2 linked regions of the Cricetulus griseus genome follow. The protein of the gene in region 2 purifies or fractionates together with the protein of the main gene of each other region. This does not show direct contact. Links are inferred from orthologs where the notes say so. Each region holds a gene or a part of one and is shown on either strand. Other genes may lie near its edges.

Region 1 (7,738 bases), on a different chromosome or scaffold from region 2:
TCCCCCATACAATGCCCATTTATCTGCACCCCAACCCCTCCCCAACATGACCTGTACTTGGTCAGCAGAACCAACAGATGGATGGATGGATGAAGGGATGGATGGATGGATGGATGGATGGATGGATGGATGGCTACTAACTTACATGCTCCGATGATATCTTTTCCAGAACCTCGGGGCTGGGTGTGCCAACCACCTCCATGATTCGCTTCAGCTGGTCAATGTCTATCTAGCTTAGGAAACACTTGATGTGGACCTGGGTGGTTCAGGACAGGGAGCCCCACCTGACATGGCATAAGAAGTAAGACTTTTAAAAAGGTCCAGAAACCACCCCTACCCTGTAGACTGGGACCCCAGCTTGACCCTGCTCTCCAAGGATACAGTCGTTTCCAGGAAAGAGGGCCTTTCCTTGAATCAGCTCAGCCATGATGCAGCCCACAGACCAGATGTCCACTGTTGGGGGAGAATAAGGAGACACTTTCAGCCTGCCAGTCCAAATCCTTCCTGTGGTGCTGGAGGAAGCCTGCCCAGTGACCCTCGGTCATATCCAGGACCTACGAGACCAGTAGAGCCCTTACTCTATACCCTACCCTGAGAAGAGGTCTGAGGATACCGGCCAAGCTAGAAGCCTTTCTAAAAGCTAGTCCCACCAAGCCCTTGCCCCTCACTCAGAGCTCCAGGCATGCTCTTCTCCCTTTTAGTCCTTCTTTCTACCCCCACCGATTTGTCACCTTCCCTAAACCTTGTTGTGAGCACTGCCTGCCCACCCTTACAGTACAAGACCACTGTTGAGGGTCTATGGTACCTGTCTGGTTGTAGTGCATCCAGTTCAGCATGATCTCTGGCGCCCGGTACCAACGTGTGGCCACATATCCAGTCATCTCCTCATCAGCTTGGCGCGCTAGCCCAAAGTCCAGGATCTGGAGTACCATAAGTGTTATGCAACTTCTTTGTGCAACCTACTTCTCTGTGCATCCCCGCTGCTCACACACCCCCACCAACATCCTTACCCTAAGCTCGCAGTCTTCATTCACCGCTACATTGCTGGGCTTCAGGTCCTGCAGGGTGGACCGGGTGTGAGTGAGGCAGCCATGAGCCTAGGCAGAGTGACTGACCCTCACCCTCGCCCACAGCTGCACCTACCCGGTGGATGATGCCTGCCGAGTGGATATACTGCAGGGGAGGGCACACCGGGTGAGTTCAGGCTCCATCCCTTTCTGCCCAACCCAGCGCTGTCGAGGCAACCCCAGAGCCCATGCGCCCCACCTTCAGCCCACGTAGCAGCTGGTAGACAAGGAACTGAACATGCTCATCGCTCAGTGCCTGACACTTGACGATGTTATTCAGGTCAGCGCCCATCAGGGTGGTCACCAGGTACCTGCGCCAGGATCAGGAGTTAAGAGAGTGTCTCACTACACCCTCCCCGACTAAGCTCCCAAGGCCATCACCACGCATGCCCGGGCCGCTCACACTTCGCTGAAATCCTCGATGGATGTGGCCGGCGTGAAGACGTCCAGAAGCCCTATGATCTGGGCAGGGAACCGAGGAAGGACCACAGCACAGCTGTAGGCAACGCCCCACTGGTCTGGGCCCCGCCTATGTGGAGGCGTACCCTCCAAAGGCCCCACCCCACCCACTTCGCTCCCGCCCCCACCGGGCGGTGTCGGTTGTTCAATCCCTACAACACTGGCCCGCTCTCTCACGTTCTCGTGCTTCAGGTGTTTGAGTAGGCGCAGCTCCCGGTAGGTCCTCCTTGCATGGATCAGCGATTGGAAAGGGCGAGACAGCTTCTTCACAGCCACCTTCTGGCGCAGACGCGCGTCGTAGGCTGAGCTGCAAGGTGGGCGAGTGAGGCGATGAGCGAGCGCCTGGCCCAGAGTCCACCCTGCACCGGAGTACAGGAGCAAGCCTCCGCTGCTGGCTCCTGGACCTAGGAGGCCTGTCCCTGCCTGCTCGCTCCGCGCTGTCTTCACGCCGCCCCTCTTGGACCTCCCTTAGGTGACCCCCTTGAGTAGACTGATCGTTCTCTGGTAGAGGTTTTTTTTGTTGTTGTTTTGTTTTTAATCTTTTCTTCTTGAGAAACCTAAGCCTCCACTCACAAGGAGGCTGTTGCATGGACAACACACTATGCCCACAAACACTCCCTCAGCAAGCAGGCCTCCTCCTTCCTCACGGACCCAGTGAACAAGGGAGGCTTGCCTAGAAAGCCATGGGAACCACACCCCCACGCCTCCGCACATCAGATTGAGGAAGGAAGAGGTGTTTATTGCATCCTAATTTATAATTGAAGCTGGACATGGTGGTTCATGCCTGTAATCCCAGCTCTTGGGAGACTGAAGCAAGAGAACTGAGATGAGGTCAAGACTAGATGGTGAAACACTTTCAAAACAAAAACAAAAAACCCCACACAATTTATAACTGAGTAACTGGGTGGTAGGATATGCTCATCCCCTGTGGGTTGGGGGGGCTCTCTGGCCCACTACCACCCCCCAGAGACTGGAGGACCCTCCACCTCTGTACCCTTTTTGTTTGTTTGGTTTTGGTTTTTGGAGACAAGGTATCTCTGTATAGCCCTGGCTGTTCTGGCACTCTCTATAGACAAGGCTGGCCTCGAACTCACAGAGATCCGTTGGCCTCTACCTCCTGAGTGCTGGGACTAAAGGCATGTGGACATGCCCTCTATTGGTGGGACCTAGCCCATCATGATCATGAGCTGTGGTCATAGGGCTTTTCCCCAAGTTCTGGTCCCACTGCTGTCAAGACTGGGGCAGTTATGAATCCACTGAAGGAGTCCAGCTAGCCACAGTCTCTCCCTATTGAGTCTCCTCATCTCAGGGGTGCACCCTTCCCTACAGTTAGTGGAGACAGGGTACCACCCATCCCCACTGGGCCAGGGAAGGCAAGGATGTTCATGGGACTAGAAAGTAAGGCAGAGAAGCCAGTTCCCCGTGATAAGCAGAGTGTCTAAACAGCTCCTGCAGAGAGGCATGAAGGGAGTGGCCACTAAATCAGCAGGCCCTGTTGCTCCACTGCATCTCAACAATCAAGTTACAAGGAGTTGGCATCCTAGCACCAACCTCAGGAGTGCAATTGAACAAGCCCAGGGTCACAGATCAGTGGAGACTGACCTCGGCCTCACTTGGGAAAGTTGGCTATCTCCCAGCAACTCCTAGATGTTCAACCCTGAACAATTTCATCTTAGTCAATGTCCAAGCCCCCTGCAAGGCATATGCCCCACATTTCTCTCCACCCTGTCTGTTCCCTGCCCCTTTCCTCCCTTCCTCTAAAGTATTGTTTGTTTGTTTGTTTTTTTTTTAATGGGATTTTGTGTAACCTCATCCCCCTCTACTTGCTGTGAGCATCCCAGACACAGCCTGTCTTTTTTCCTGTCTCCTGTTCCTTGGGTATTGGGGGGGTATCCTGTCTCTACTCAATGTGGACGGGAGTACACCCTAAGAGAAAGAGAAGCAAGAAGGAGATAAGGAGCAAATATCATCAGGAGAACAAGCTTATCCATCTCAGAGTGCTGTGATTATAGGCTAAGGCATGGGGCACAATCCCGTGACCAAGCTCACTCTGGGCCCTGTAAAAGCAGGACTGGTTTCCTCTGGGTTGAGTCTATACGATTTCATCAGAGCCCTGCTGTGAGGGATTTGACACAGGCTTCTGATGACAGACAGATGTCATTACAAGATCCAAGATTTGAGTCTCAACCCCCATCCCCAGGGCTGGGGTGTTAGCCCTTGACCAGCCTATCAACATGGACTATCTGCACCCATTCTCTAGTTCCGAGTGCCTGGGAGTTAGCTGGTTTCAACCACCAGGCACTCTACCCCGATCCCCGAGCCCTAGGTGTGGAGCTGTATTCTGAGATCCTTTGTTGGATAAACTGGGGTAGGGTGTAGACAAGATAGGTGTCTGATTTTGCTCAAGCCGTTGTCTGAGACTCCTAGGATACTGGAAGAGGGGGTAGGATCCATGGCAGAGCTTGATGCCTTCCGAAGAGGAGAGGTCTCCTCACGGCGCTGGGGGCCCCCTTTTCAAACACGCAAGTCTGGGGGCAGGTTAGACCCTGCAAGCTACTTAGACTCTGCCCCAAATAACCAGGATGGCAGTTCCATTTAGCGACCCCAGAGTCTTGCTCTCCCGCCAGCCAGCTGTGACGCCGCGGGATTCCGCCTTACTGGGAGAAACAAGGGATCGAAGATGGGGGTACGTTAGAGGAGCCCCTCCCTTCCAACCAGTGGAATCCAGTAGGAAAGTTTCCTCCGTGTCCCCTCCCCCCCCATTCATTCTTAAGAAGCGTGCCGGCCGGGGGCGGAGGCAGGGCGAGGCCCCTCCCCACGCCGGGAACCCCACGTCGCGCTGGAGGGTCGCGCACACTTTCCCGCCCAGCTCCCACCAGATCCTTGCTGGCCCCTACCAGACCGAGCCGTAGGCGCCGGACCCCACCGGGCGTAGGCCCTGCAGCCGCTGCGGCACCTCCCATACTGTTTTGTTCAGCTCCTGCCGGTAGAATCCTGTGCGCGGACCCGACATATCCGCAGCGGCAGCTGGAGCGAGCGCCCCGGAGTCCCGCGCAGCACCCGGCCCGCGCCCCACGCCCAGCAGGCGTGAGCACCGCTGAGCAAAGCGGGGTGGGGGTTGGGGGGCTGCGGCGCAGCAGGGCGGGGCGGCGGGGCGGGGCCGAGGCCCGGCGGATTTCCCCAGCCTGGCGACCGGGGGCGGGAAGCGGAGGGAGGGGTGGGGAGTACAAGGGGGTGCAGGAGATTTCCCGGAGACAGACGCGCGGCTTCCTGCCCCTGGATGACGGCGACAAAGGAGAAAGCCGTCTTCCCTCCCGTGGGGATGACGAGCGGACCTCTGGCTTGTTTCCTACATTCACCTTCTGCATGCCACGCGCTCCCCCTGCCCTTCCCCAGGTCCCAGTCCAGGCTCCTTCCTCAAAAATGAGGGAAAATTGTCAAAAGAGAGCTAGAGCACATGGTGAGAATACATTCAGAACAAAAAAAAACCTAGCCACGTTAAAAATTAAAGGCTCTAGATTAAAAACCAGCGCCATGGCGCTAACCCAGGGCCCCACTCTGGGAGGCGCGTTGTGGTCTGGGCGAGAAAGACGCCTCCGTTGGGCATTAGTGGTTCACCTCCTGACAGACTTTACCTTGGTGACAGAGCCTTCAGGAGACGATATCTACCCCACATCTTGCCCCAACCTGGGTCTAGAAGTTCCTGGAAGAGGTGAGCGCCCGACGGCCAGTCAGGACCAGGGACAGCAGCAGCACCATGGTTGAGGCCACAGGGTTTGGTCCCCAAATGGATTCTTTTTGATATTGGGTAATTTTCCTTCTTATGAAGCACTCACCTCACTGACGCCTGTGAAACGCACCCAGCCCTGACTTTCTCAGGCCACTAGCACAAGGCGGCCCAGCAGGTCTACCACCCAGGCAGGCGAAGTTCAGTTTGTCACCAAGTCTAGAAAACTCCCTTTTCCTGGTGTCCAAGGTGGATACTCCCATGTGCAGTAAGGCCTCACTAGTATGTGTCACTCTAGGACAGCAGTTCTCAACATGTGGGTCTCAAACCCTTAGGGGTCTCCCAAGACCATCAGAAAACACAGATTCCTAACAGCAAGATTACAGTTATGGAGTAGTAATGAAAATAATTTTATGGGTGGGGGCCACCGTAACATGAGAAACTCTATGAAAGGGTTAGGAAGGTTGAGAAACACTGCTCTAGACCCTACTTTTATTCACACTTAAAGGTGAACATGGAGCCAGGTGTCATGGTACACACCTTTAATCCTAGTACTCAGGAGGCAAAGGCAGATGGATCTCTGTGAGTTTAAAGCCAGATTGGTCAACATTGTGAGTTCCAGAACAGTGAGCACTATATATGAGAGACCTCCCCCCTCTTCCCTCTCTCTCTCTCTTTCTCTCTCTCCTCTCTCTCTCTCTCTCTCTCTCTCTCTCTCTCACTCTCACACACACACACACAACCAGCCTTGTCCCCAATAAAGAAAGTGAACATGGACTTAATGTGGAGGCTTCCATCTCTAATTCAAATGCTCAGGAAGCTGATCTGGAGGACCATAACAAGTTTAAGGCCTTTCTGAGCTACATAGAGAATTCAAAGCCACCTGAGCTTCAAAGTGAGACCCTGTCTCAAGGCAAAAAGAAAAAGAAAAGCCAAGTATGGTGGCATACATTTTTAACCCCAACACTGGGGGGAGAGAGGCAGGTGGATCTCTGTGAGTTCAAGGCTACCCTGATCTACAAAGCCAGTTCCAGGATAGCTAGAGCAACACAGAGAAACCCTGTCTTGAAAAACTAAAATAAATAAAAATAATACCAATATAATGTAAAATATAAATTAAAAATTAACCAAGCTGGGCAGTTGTGGTGCACGCCTTTAATCCCAGCACTCGGGAAGCAGAGGCAAGTAGACCTCTGTGAGTTGGAGGCCAGCCTGATCTACAGAGTGAGTTTCAGGACAGCCAGGACTACACAGAGAAACCCTGTGAAGAAACAAAGCAAAACAAAAATTGCCAACTAAACTAAAACAAGCCAATGAAGTACCAGGCTAATAGAAGTATCCACCCTGGTCTACAGCAGAGCAAGTTCCAGGACAGGCTCCAAAGCTACATAGAGAAACCCTGTCTCAAAAAAAAAAAAAAAAAAAAAAAAAAAAAGCAAAACAAATACCATGAATTAGTGAGGCACACCAAGTGACCAAGAAAATAGCTCCAAGCCTCAGTCTCTAGCCCCTCTCGCAAGACTTTGCCCAAGCCCTAGGCCATCCTTGGCATCAATTCCCCTCTGGGAGCCATTCTCAATCCTGGAGCCTAGCCAGAGAACCTGAGGGTGGCCCCAGCCCCCACTGCTCAGGACAATAAAAGCTCAGAAAGCACCTTTCCCAGGGGTGGGTTGAGGTTTTGTGCAAAGTTAATGGAGCTTCAGCTAAAGGCAGAGGAGGGGGGAACTGAGCCAGGGTGATGGTGGGGGGTTGGGAACCTTGACTGCACAGTAGCCAGGGGGGAGGGTAGTGGCCTTTGTCTGTACTGCCGCAGGGCAGGGCCAGGCAGTTACCAGGGTAACCTTCCTTGTTTCCTCCACATTCCCAAGGATGCCCAGTTTGGCTCAACTGGAGAAGTGGGGAAGGGGGCAGGATGAAGACTTGGGAAGCTAGTAGCCACCTACCCAGGAGAGTCTCAGATCAATTTTCCTAACTGCTTCCCTGCTAAGTCTGACCCTGGAAAGGGTCAGAGTGGACTACTGTTAGCCAGGAGTTAGGTCTAGCCAGGTTTAGCTCTCATACAGTTGTGATTCTCTCATCCTCAGTAAACTGCTCTGAACACCCTCTCCACCTGGCATGCCCACCCACAGGTACCAGGTGCCTTCTGAGGATTGTGTGGGATCAAACACTATAGGGAGTGGCCATCTGAGTTTAAGCTGGTAGTGAGGATAGCAACTACAAGGTAGCATTACAATAGCAGGTAGATAGATGTGTGGGGGTACCGGAGGGTGATGAGGGGGCTGCAACAGAAAAAGTCCAGGACCCTGTCTCTATCCTCCTCTATGATTTAGTGCCACCCCTAAATTCAATCCCATCTTCTGTTGCTGCCTATGCTCAAGTCCCCTTTTTCAATTAGACAGCTGTGATAGTTCCCCAGTGGTTAGCTTGTCCACTCAGATCCCAGATTCCGACAGTGGGTCAGAATGCATTTTGTAAAAGATAAATC
Region 2 (7,484 bases):
TTACTAGGCCATCATAATTGAAGTACAGTCTGTTTATGAGAACTATATATACCTTCAAGACATGTCCAGAGCTTCCCAGCAACCCCATCAGTACCTGTGTTCTTCCTAGAGATATGCTGGGGAACATACCTGACTTTACACCCAGGCCACTCAGAATAACATCTTCAGCTTGTGGCAAGAAATTCTCAAGGTGTGACTTTTTTTTTTTTTCATTTCACTTTGACCCAAATTCTAATTTGTTTCTGTAGGGGTATTTTTCAAGGTCAACTATTGTATTTTTTTTTGCTACAAACTACCATAAATTTAGTGACTTAGAGCAACACTTTGCCTGGTGTGGTGACAGTACTTCCCTGCAATTATGGTACTTGGAAGGTGGAAGCACGAGGATCAGGAATTTAATGACATCTTCAGCCTCACAATGAATTCAGTGAATTTGAAGCCAGACTAGGCTACATGTGACCCTGCCAGAAAGAAAGGGTGTTATCACAGTTTTAAATACCATCAGGTATGGAATGGCTGCATTCCTGTGGAGGCTTCTGGCTCCTAGTCCTAGGCTATGCCCCAGGCACTTTTGGACTGGAAGGTCGTCATTGGTTTTTGTTTTTTCCCTCAGAGTTTTTCTCTCATTTTCTCACTAGCTCAGCCATTTTGTCACAGGGTTTTTTTTTCGAGACAGGGTTTGTTTGTGTAGCTTTGTAGACTAGGCTGGCCTCAAACTCACAGAGATCTGTCTGCCTGCCTCTACCTCCTGAGTGCTGGGATCAAAGGCGTGTGCCACCAACATTTGGCTGGTCACAGGGCTTTAAATTTCATCCACATTTCAGGGCTTTTGGACTGGGAGTGCTACCTAAACATCTTGTTTCTAAGTCCATTGCTGCAGTTGGGATGTTGAATGTTTCTCAAAAGTCCACCTTTAAGGGCATAGGCCCTCAGGCACTGCTACTGGGAGAGGGGATATATCTTTAGTTAGAGATAGGCTCTTGAAGGGTCTTGGGGGGCCCCAGTCCCTTCCTTTTCCACCCTTTTCCCTCTTGGTCATGAAGGGTCCAATCATGTTTCACTGTATACTTCCACCATTGGGTGCTGCCTAACCAGCCATGGCCTGTAACTCTGAAATGTAAGCGAAAAATCAATCTTCTCTCTCTGCAAGCATATTGCCTCAGGTATTCCTGTGCTGACTAGAAACCTGACTAAAACATTACCCTCCATTACTTTCTCCCCTGTACATACTCTGATGCTCTTCCTTTCTGCTCTATCTGTAAGCTTTGGAAACAGATTCCCAGTTCTGCCAGCTGCAGTGTAGAGAAGGCACTGGCAGTGTTGAACAGAAGAGTCCTACCTAAAACTTAGATGACCCAGTGATGTAGGCTCTACCTAACATTGCAGATGGCCCAAGTGCACACCTGTCCCATGGCTCTCCCCGACCTTGCCTAGGCTTTTGCAACCTTGATTCCACACAGTATGATACACCCAGCCCATGGCTTTTCCCTATTGAAGATAATAGACAGCCTACTTTTACTCAGGGTTTCGGGGTCAGTTGCAACTTCATGACTGATTTGGGGTATCTCATCCCCTTCTGGAAACGCAGCTCCAAACATGCAGGTTCATCATGTTTGGCTTATTGTTTTATCCCAGTCCCTACAGTGTGTGCCAGGTAGCCAAATAGGCAATGTACATAGATGAGAAATGATGAATGGATGAAGGGCAGGTTTCCCTTTCCTCTCCCTCCCTTCCCCAAAGAGCCCAGGAGGCAGCACTCTCTGTTCAGTATCTTAAATAAACCATTTATTTAGGAGGAACAATTAAAGAAAAGCGATTATGAAGTGGATTACAAAAACAAATAAGCACAACCCTCTCCAGGTTCAAAGACAAGATGGTTCTCCTGCCACAGGTACTGCCAGCCCCAGGCTGAATGTGTGAGTAGGCTAGTATGCATGTGTGAACACTCACACACACATACATACACACTGTTTACAAAGGGGTGTGGACTGCAATGAATGACCATGTGTGTGTGTCTGCAGCTTGGCCCCTTCCCTGCCCCCCAAACCAATACCGGCTGTGTGAGACACACAGCAGCAAAATTGAGGCCTTCATCCTTCTCTCCCTCCCCCTCAGCTCTCACTCAGAGACCCCCATCTCCTCCGGTGGCAGTTTGACCACCCTCAGTCACAAAGAGTCTCAGTGATCCTGTCAAGACATCTGTGGGAGGAGGAAAGAAACAGTCAGGGCACCAGATGTGTGGCTGGGATCCCACTGATTGGCTCCCAGGCCCATGCCCTCCCATGTGACACTGCCCAGCAAAAAAGGCTGCCCCTGTGGATACTGAGAGCAGCAATGGCATCTCTGGGTCCATATCCCAGAGCCACAAGAGGTCTAAGCGCTAGCCAGAGAGGCAGGAAGGAGACTACACCAGTGAAAGCTGTGAGACCTTTTCCCACAAGTGGCCATTTGGGGACAGGGAAGGAACTAAGAGCAAGTCCCTGTGGCAAAGTGTGATATAATCTTCCTGAAGAGGAAATGGCAAGGGACAGAGCCCAGGCACCAGGCAGCAGTCTGGAATGGTCTCTTGGATAGGAAGCCCCACTCCCACCCCGAAAGAATAAAGTAACAGTCACAGAAGAGGCATGGTCCTGGAGCATGGTCCTGCCCTAAAGTGGTGCGAGTCAGGTCTGTATCCATGGACCCACCCATAGGCACGTGTAATAGAACTGGGGTAGGGCAGGTCTCTGCTGTGTTCCTGCTTTGCTGCACCACCCCCGCTTGAGGTATTGAGCTCCCCCCCCCATTATGGCTGCATCCCATCCCTGCTAATACATGGGTCATAGGTAGGGACCAGCCCAGCAACTCCACATGGCTTTATGTGGGGTCCAGCTCAAAGACCCCATCGCTGGTAGGGGTAGTAAAGAAAGAAGGTGGGTCTGAGACAGTGGACTCTGGTCCCCCACTGCCCTGTCCCCCAGAGCGCCTCTCCTCCAGGCGCAGGCTTCGCTCAAAGTCTAGCAGCTGGCCCATGAAGTTGAAGTTGGGCGAGATGTTAGACTTCTTCCGCTTGACCAAGTCGTAGGCATCATTGAGTGAGAGGTGGAGCTTCTGCATGAGGTAGGCCACGGTGACAGTGACAGAGCGGCTGACTCCTGCCAGGCAGTGGACGAGCACCCCACAGTTCTGGGACAAGGCCTCATCTAGGTAGAGCAGACAGAAACATCCCCCCACAAGGCAAGGATCAGCATGAATGAGGCCAAAGCCCAGTGAATTTTGGGGGATATCATCACAGTCTCTCCACCCCACCTAGCCCTTATCTGGGAGGTTTTACTGGCAGCTGACCTGAGCTCTACTCCCACTTCCCCAAGTGCCTTGTCTGCTCTGGGTGAGGGTAGCTAAACTAGGCAAAAACTCCTTTACAGGAGAGGGTAAGGAGCAGGACAGACCAGGAGTCAGTCTAGTAGGTGGGGACAGGTGGAAAGAGAAGACAGGGAGGATAGGGAGAACTCACCAATGAATGCAATGGCCTCTGGAAAGAACTGGGACAGATTCTGGCTCCAGTGGTCAGAGATGGGGATTTGCTTGTAGTGGAAGTCACCATTCTTCTCAAAGAGGTTAGGTAGGTTGGGGGTGACATTGAGAATATAGCGGATGCCAAGCTTGGCTAGGCTCTCTAAGTTGGCTGAATCTCGGGCACTGCCTAGGTAGAGATTGGGCAGGATCTGGACTGGGAACGGTGGTAGCAGCCCAGCTGGAGGGGATGTGGTACTCTCCGAATCTAGGCCACAGCTCATGGAGTCACGGTCGGCCTCAGACTCTGCATCAGAGGTATCAGAGCCCAAGCACAGGCCACCTAGCCCCACCACAGGCACTGGGCTAGGCAATGCGGCCAGGCTTGATCCAGCACAACCACTGAAGCTGGTTTCACAAAGGTGAGGACACTCGGCCTGGAATTTGCTGAAACCACCTGTCAGGAAAGAAAGAGGTGCTCTTGCTATTATAGCCAGCTGGGCAGCCAGGAATCCCTAGCTGAGGCTAGGGAGGTGACCCTAACAACCTAGGTGGGTTGCAGATATTGCCGAAGGGAACACACAAACCAGCAGTTTAATCTTTACTGGAGAGCCACGTGTGGTGCATACTATGGACAGCCATCTCTCACTTAGCACTTGTGGCTGTCTCTCTGTATGGTGCAGCCGCTTGCTCTAGGGAACATCCTGTGAACTATGTTGTTTCAGGTCAATTCTCCCTATTTTCCAGATTTATAAATGGGCTTGGACGGATGAAGGATTTGCCCAAGGTCACACTTAGGTCTGCCTTCCCAAAAGCTGTCTGGTAGGTTACTGGGAGCAAGTATTATATTAACCTACATTTTAGACAAAATGCGATGGGGTTTGCCCAAGGATAAAATAATTATGAAATCCCCCTTGGAAGGCAGGACCGTCTCCTGACCTGAGGCCATCACAGGTTCCCTGTGCCCTCTCTCAGCCCACTGCACCTCACGTACCCTGTAGGTAGTAGGACAGGTAGCCTTCTTCCCGCAGCTTCTGGAGCAGAATGCCCAGCACCGAGTCAGCTTCCCACTCTGGGGCTTCGGCCTCTGCTTCTCCATGCCTGGATCGGCCACTACCCTGGTCGTATAGGAGCACAGGGGCGGGTGGGGGAGGCTGCAGCGGTGGCCCAGGCAAGAGTGAGCGTACGGACAGGCTCCCTCTCCGCAGGCGGCGCAGCATCAGGGCAGGCAGGACCACGCTCAGCGCCCCGCAGATGCGCGCTGACTCGTACAGCTCCCGGCTCCGGCAGTCGAGCAGTAGAAGCTGTGGGCGCGGGGGCGACAGCTCCTGCCGCAGCCACAGGCACGAACGACCCAGACTCTCCATGGGTGCGCAGCGTTCTGCACTTCTGTCCGTCGGGCAGTGTGTGCTGTGGAGAGACCTAAGGCGCAGAGTGAGGGAAGGTTTGTCTCTACTCTCGCAGTGTGGACCAGGCTACTGAGACGGGAAGTCAGGCCCTGTCCTGAGGGCAGGCGCCCAGTGTCCCTGCAGGGACATTCCTCCACCGCCTGCTTCTCTCCTTGCGCTCCACCCACAGTGAGAAAACCAAGGAAGGCGCCCCAGGAAAAACACCCGAGGCCGCCGCCACTGGGGTGTTGCTCCCTGTCCCGCTTAGATGGAGTTTGTGTAAGACATACCCCAGAAGGAGAAAGTCTAGCGGCCTCTTGAATGAAGACTTTCTTTTTTTGGGGGGGGGGGGATTCTAGGAGGACTAAATCCAGTTCCCTCCACACCCGTTTTCTGACTTTCTCACTCGCCCCGATCTCCATCACTCCCCAAGTTCGACTTGGGGTGTGTGGAGAAATTGGGTTCAAGGCCTGAATCTTCTCCAAGGCCAGGAAGAACCAGAAAACAAGAGGGTCACCGAGGTGATGGGCCTAGGCGAGTCCTGTAAGAGCTGACTCGGCCCCACTCCTCCCCACCCCAGGAGAGAACAAAAGGAGAGACCTGGAGCCAGATCCAGAGGCAGGCGGCCGCGCGTGGACGTCCTGGCCACAGCTAGTGCCAGGGCAGGGCGCAGGTATCGTCCCTGGAGAGGGAGTCCCCAGGTTTGGGCGCTCGGAGAGGGCGGGGTGGCGGATCAGGCTCGCACGTGGAAGCCAAGCCTCGCGCCACTCGTGCGCTGGCCGCTTCCTGGCAGCCGGATCCAGCTTCCACCTTGGGAGCCGCGCAGCCTTCGGACCGACTTAGTAGCTGCTCGGAGGGGGGGGGGGGCGGTGGGGTGGCGGGGCGGGCATACAGGCCAGGCCAGCCAACCAGTGAGAACGAACAGCCGGGTGGGAGTTGCAAGCAGCAAGCTGAGCTAGGGCTTCCACCCAGGCGGGACTGGGTCGGGGCAGAGGCCAAGGGCAGGTCGGGGGCCCAGCAGGGGACCAGTGGCAGTTGCCCCTGCTCGGCGCCAGTCTGGTCCCTGGAATCAGGAAGAGGGGTGGGGACAAAAGCCCAGCACCCCAGAACCAGAAACTGCCTCAAACAACTCACTTAATAACCCTTAACTATTAGCCTTTGTCTGGAACTAGATGGCCCCCATCTGTATAATGGGCTATCCAGAGCCATCCAATTTGGCTGTGAAATGCCACCGAAATACTGAAGGCACAAGGCAGCTCCTGTGTTCCTTATTCTCATCTGGGCTTCATTTGTACAGGCCTGGCTACAGGTACCCAGGAATTCTGAGCACCCAACTCTATTAAACTCGGGCACTGTGCTCTTATCACATGGTGAATCCTAAAAGCCATCCCTCGCTCCTCCTTGTGACCTTTGATCCACATGGAGGGAAGTCGTTTCACTGTAATATGTCACCATCCTCATGCTCCCGCCATCTTTTGCACTGGCCATGGCTACAGAAGTCACAGTCCTAGTTTCTAAAACTTCAGCTTGTTCTCCACCCTGCCCCATGCTAGAGCACCATTCAGCCCACAAAAACTGAAGGCCTCCAACCAGCCCTCCAGACAGGTGATGAGCAGAAAAGACGCACAGGGGCTCTCCTTGCCTGGGTCTTCCAGTCTGGCAGGACACACTAACAATAAGCAAAGACGCTGAATGAGATATCGGGGTGATAAGTGATGACAATGAAAGGAGAGGTAGGGGGAGACTCCTAAAAAAGCCCCATCTGGCCATGTGTTCTTTCTCTGCTAAAAGCCCAAGAAAAGCAAATAACAGTGTTAAAGGAAAACACACAACAGATAAGATAAAGCTCGCACAAAATACAAAGGGTTAAGACCCTGTAGATAAATGGGTAAGGAACTCAAGGACTGCATACTCTGCCTGAAGGAAGGAATGTGATGGGGTAAGAATATTTGGGGAAAGGTTGAAGCTCAGGCATGGAAGGAAAGCCAATTCAAAAACAAAGAAGTGCTTCCCAGTTACTACATTAGTAGAATGTTCTCAAAATGAAAACACCTAGTGTTAGCATGGTTGCTGTGAAACAAGTGTGCTGTTCTCATCCCGAGGGGGGGGGGATTTTGTTTTGGTAGTACCCTTTTGGAAATGAGTGTAACAATATACAACAGGAACTGGACAAGAGTAGGATTGGGAGCACACACCTTTAATCCCAGCACTTGGGAGGCAGCGGCAGGCTGATCTCTGTGAGTTTGAGGCCAGGCTTGTCTACAGAGCAAGTTTCAGGATGCCCAGGGTTGTTACACAGAGAAACCCTATCTAGAAAAACCAGAAAAAAAGAACCACATAATAAAGATGGACAGGGGTAGTGGTGCACACCTCTAATCCCACCAGTCAGGGGACACAGGAGAGCCAGGACTTCACAGAGAAACCCTGTCTCAAACTCCCTTTCAAAACAAAACAAAACAAAACAAAAGAATGAAAACCCTAAACAACAACAACAACAAAAGAATCAGACAAGAAAACCCCATACTTATGAGTTACTTCTGGGGCTCCTGCTTAAGAAACCACAGACAAGAATGCAGACTGGTGCACACAGAGTGAGTACTGCAA

The links. The genes of interacting proteins can lie anywhere in the genome.
Region 1: the proteins of Dusp9 (region 2) and Mapk11 purify together in Homo sapiens (affinity purification with mass spectrometry; 4 studies listed by BioGRID and IntAct, with this or other methods). This does not show direct contact. The link is inferred for Cricetulus griseus from reciprocal best matches to the Homo sapiens genes DUSP9 and MAPK11.

What each region holds. Positions count from the first base shown.
Region 1 is NC_048595.1:385,899,510-385,907,247, forward strand, and holds the start of Mapk11 (mitogen-activated protein kinase 11), read right to left. Parts: upstream 4,540-7,738; coding exon 4,424-4,539; intron 1,834-4,423; coding exon 1,704-1,833; intron 1,530-1,703; coding exon 1,471-1,529; intron 1,379-1,470; coding exon 1,267-1,378; intron 1,174-1,266; coding exon 1,144-1,173; intron 1,059-1,143; coding exon 1,011-1,058; intron 921-1,010; coding exon 806-920; intron 454-805; coding exon 382-453; intron 226-381; coding exon 146-225; intron 1-145. UniProt on the Homo sapiens protein: Serine/threonine kinase which acts as an essential component of the MAP kinase signal transduction pathway.
Region 2 is NC_048604.1:2,099,583-2,107,066, forward strand, and holds Dusp9 (dual specificity protein phosphatase 9), read right to left. Parts: upstream 4,860-7,484; coding exon 4,487-4,859; intron 3,950-4,486; coding exon 3,494-3,949; intron 3,183-3,493; coding exon 2,857-3,182; downstream 1-2,856. UniProt on the Homo sapiens protein: Inactivates MAP kinases. Has a specificity for the ERK family.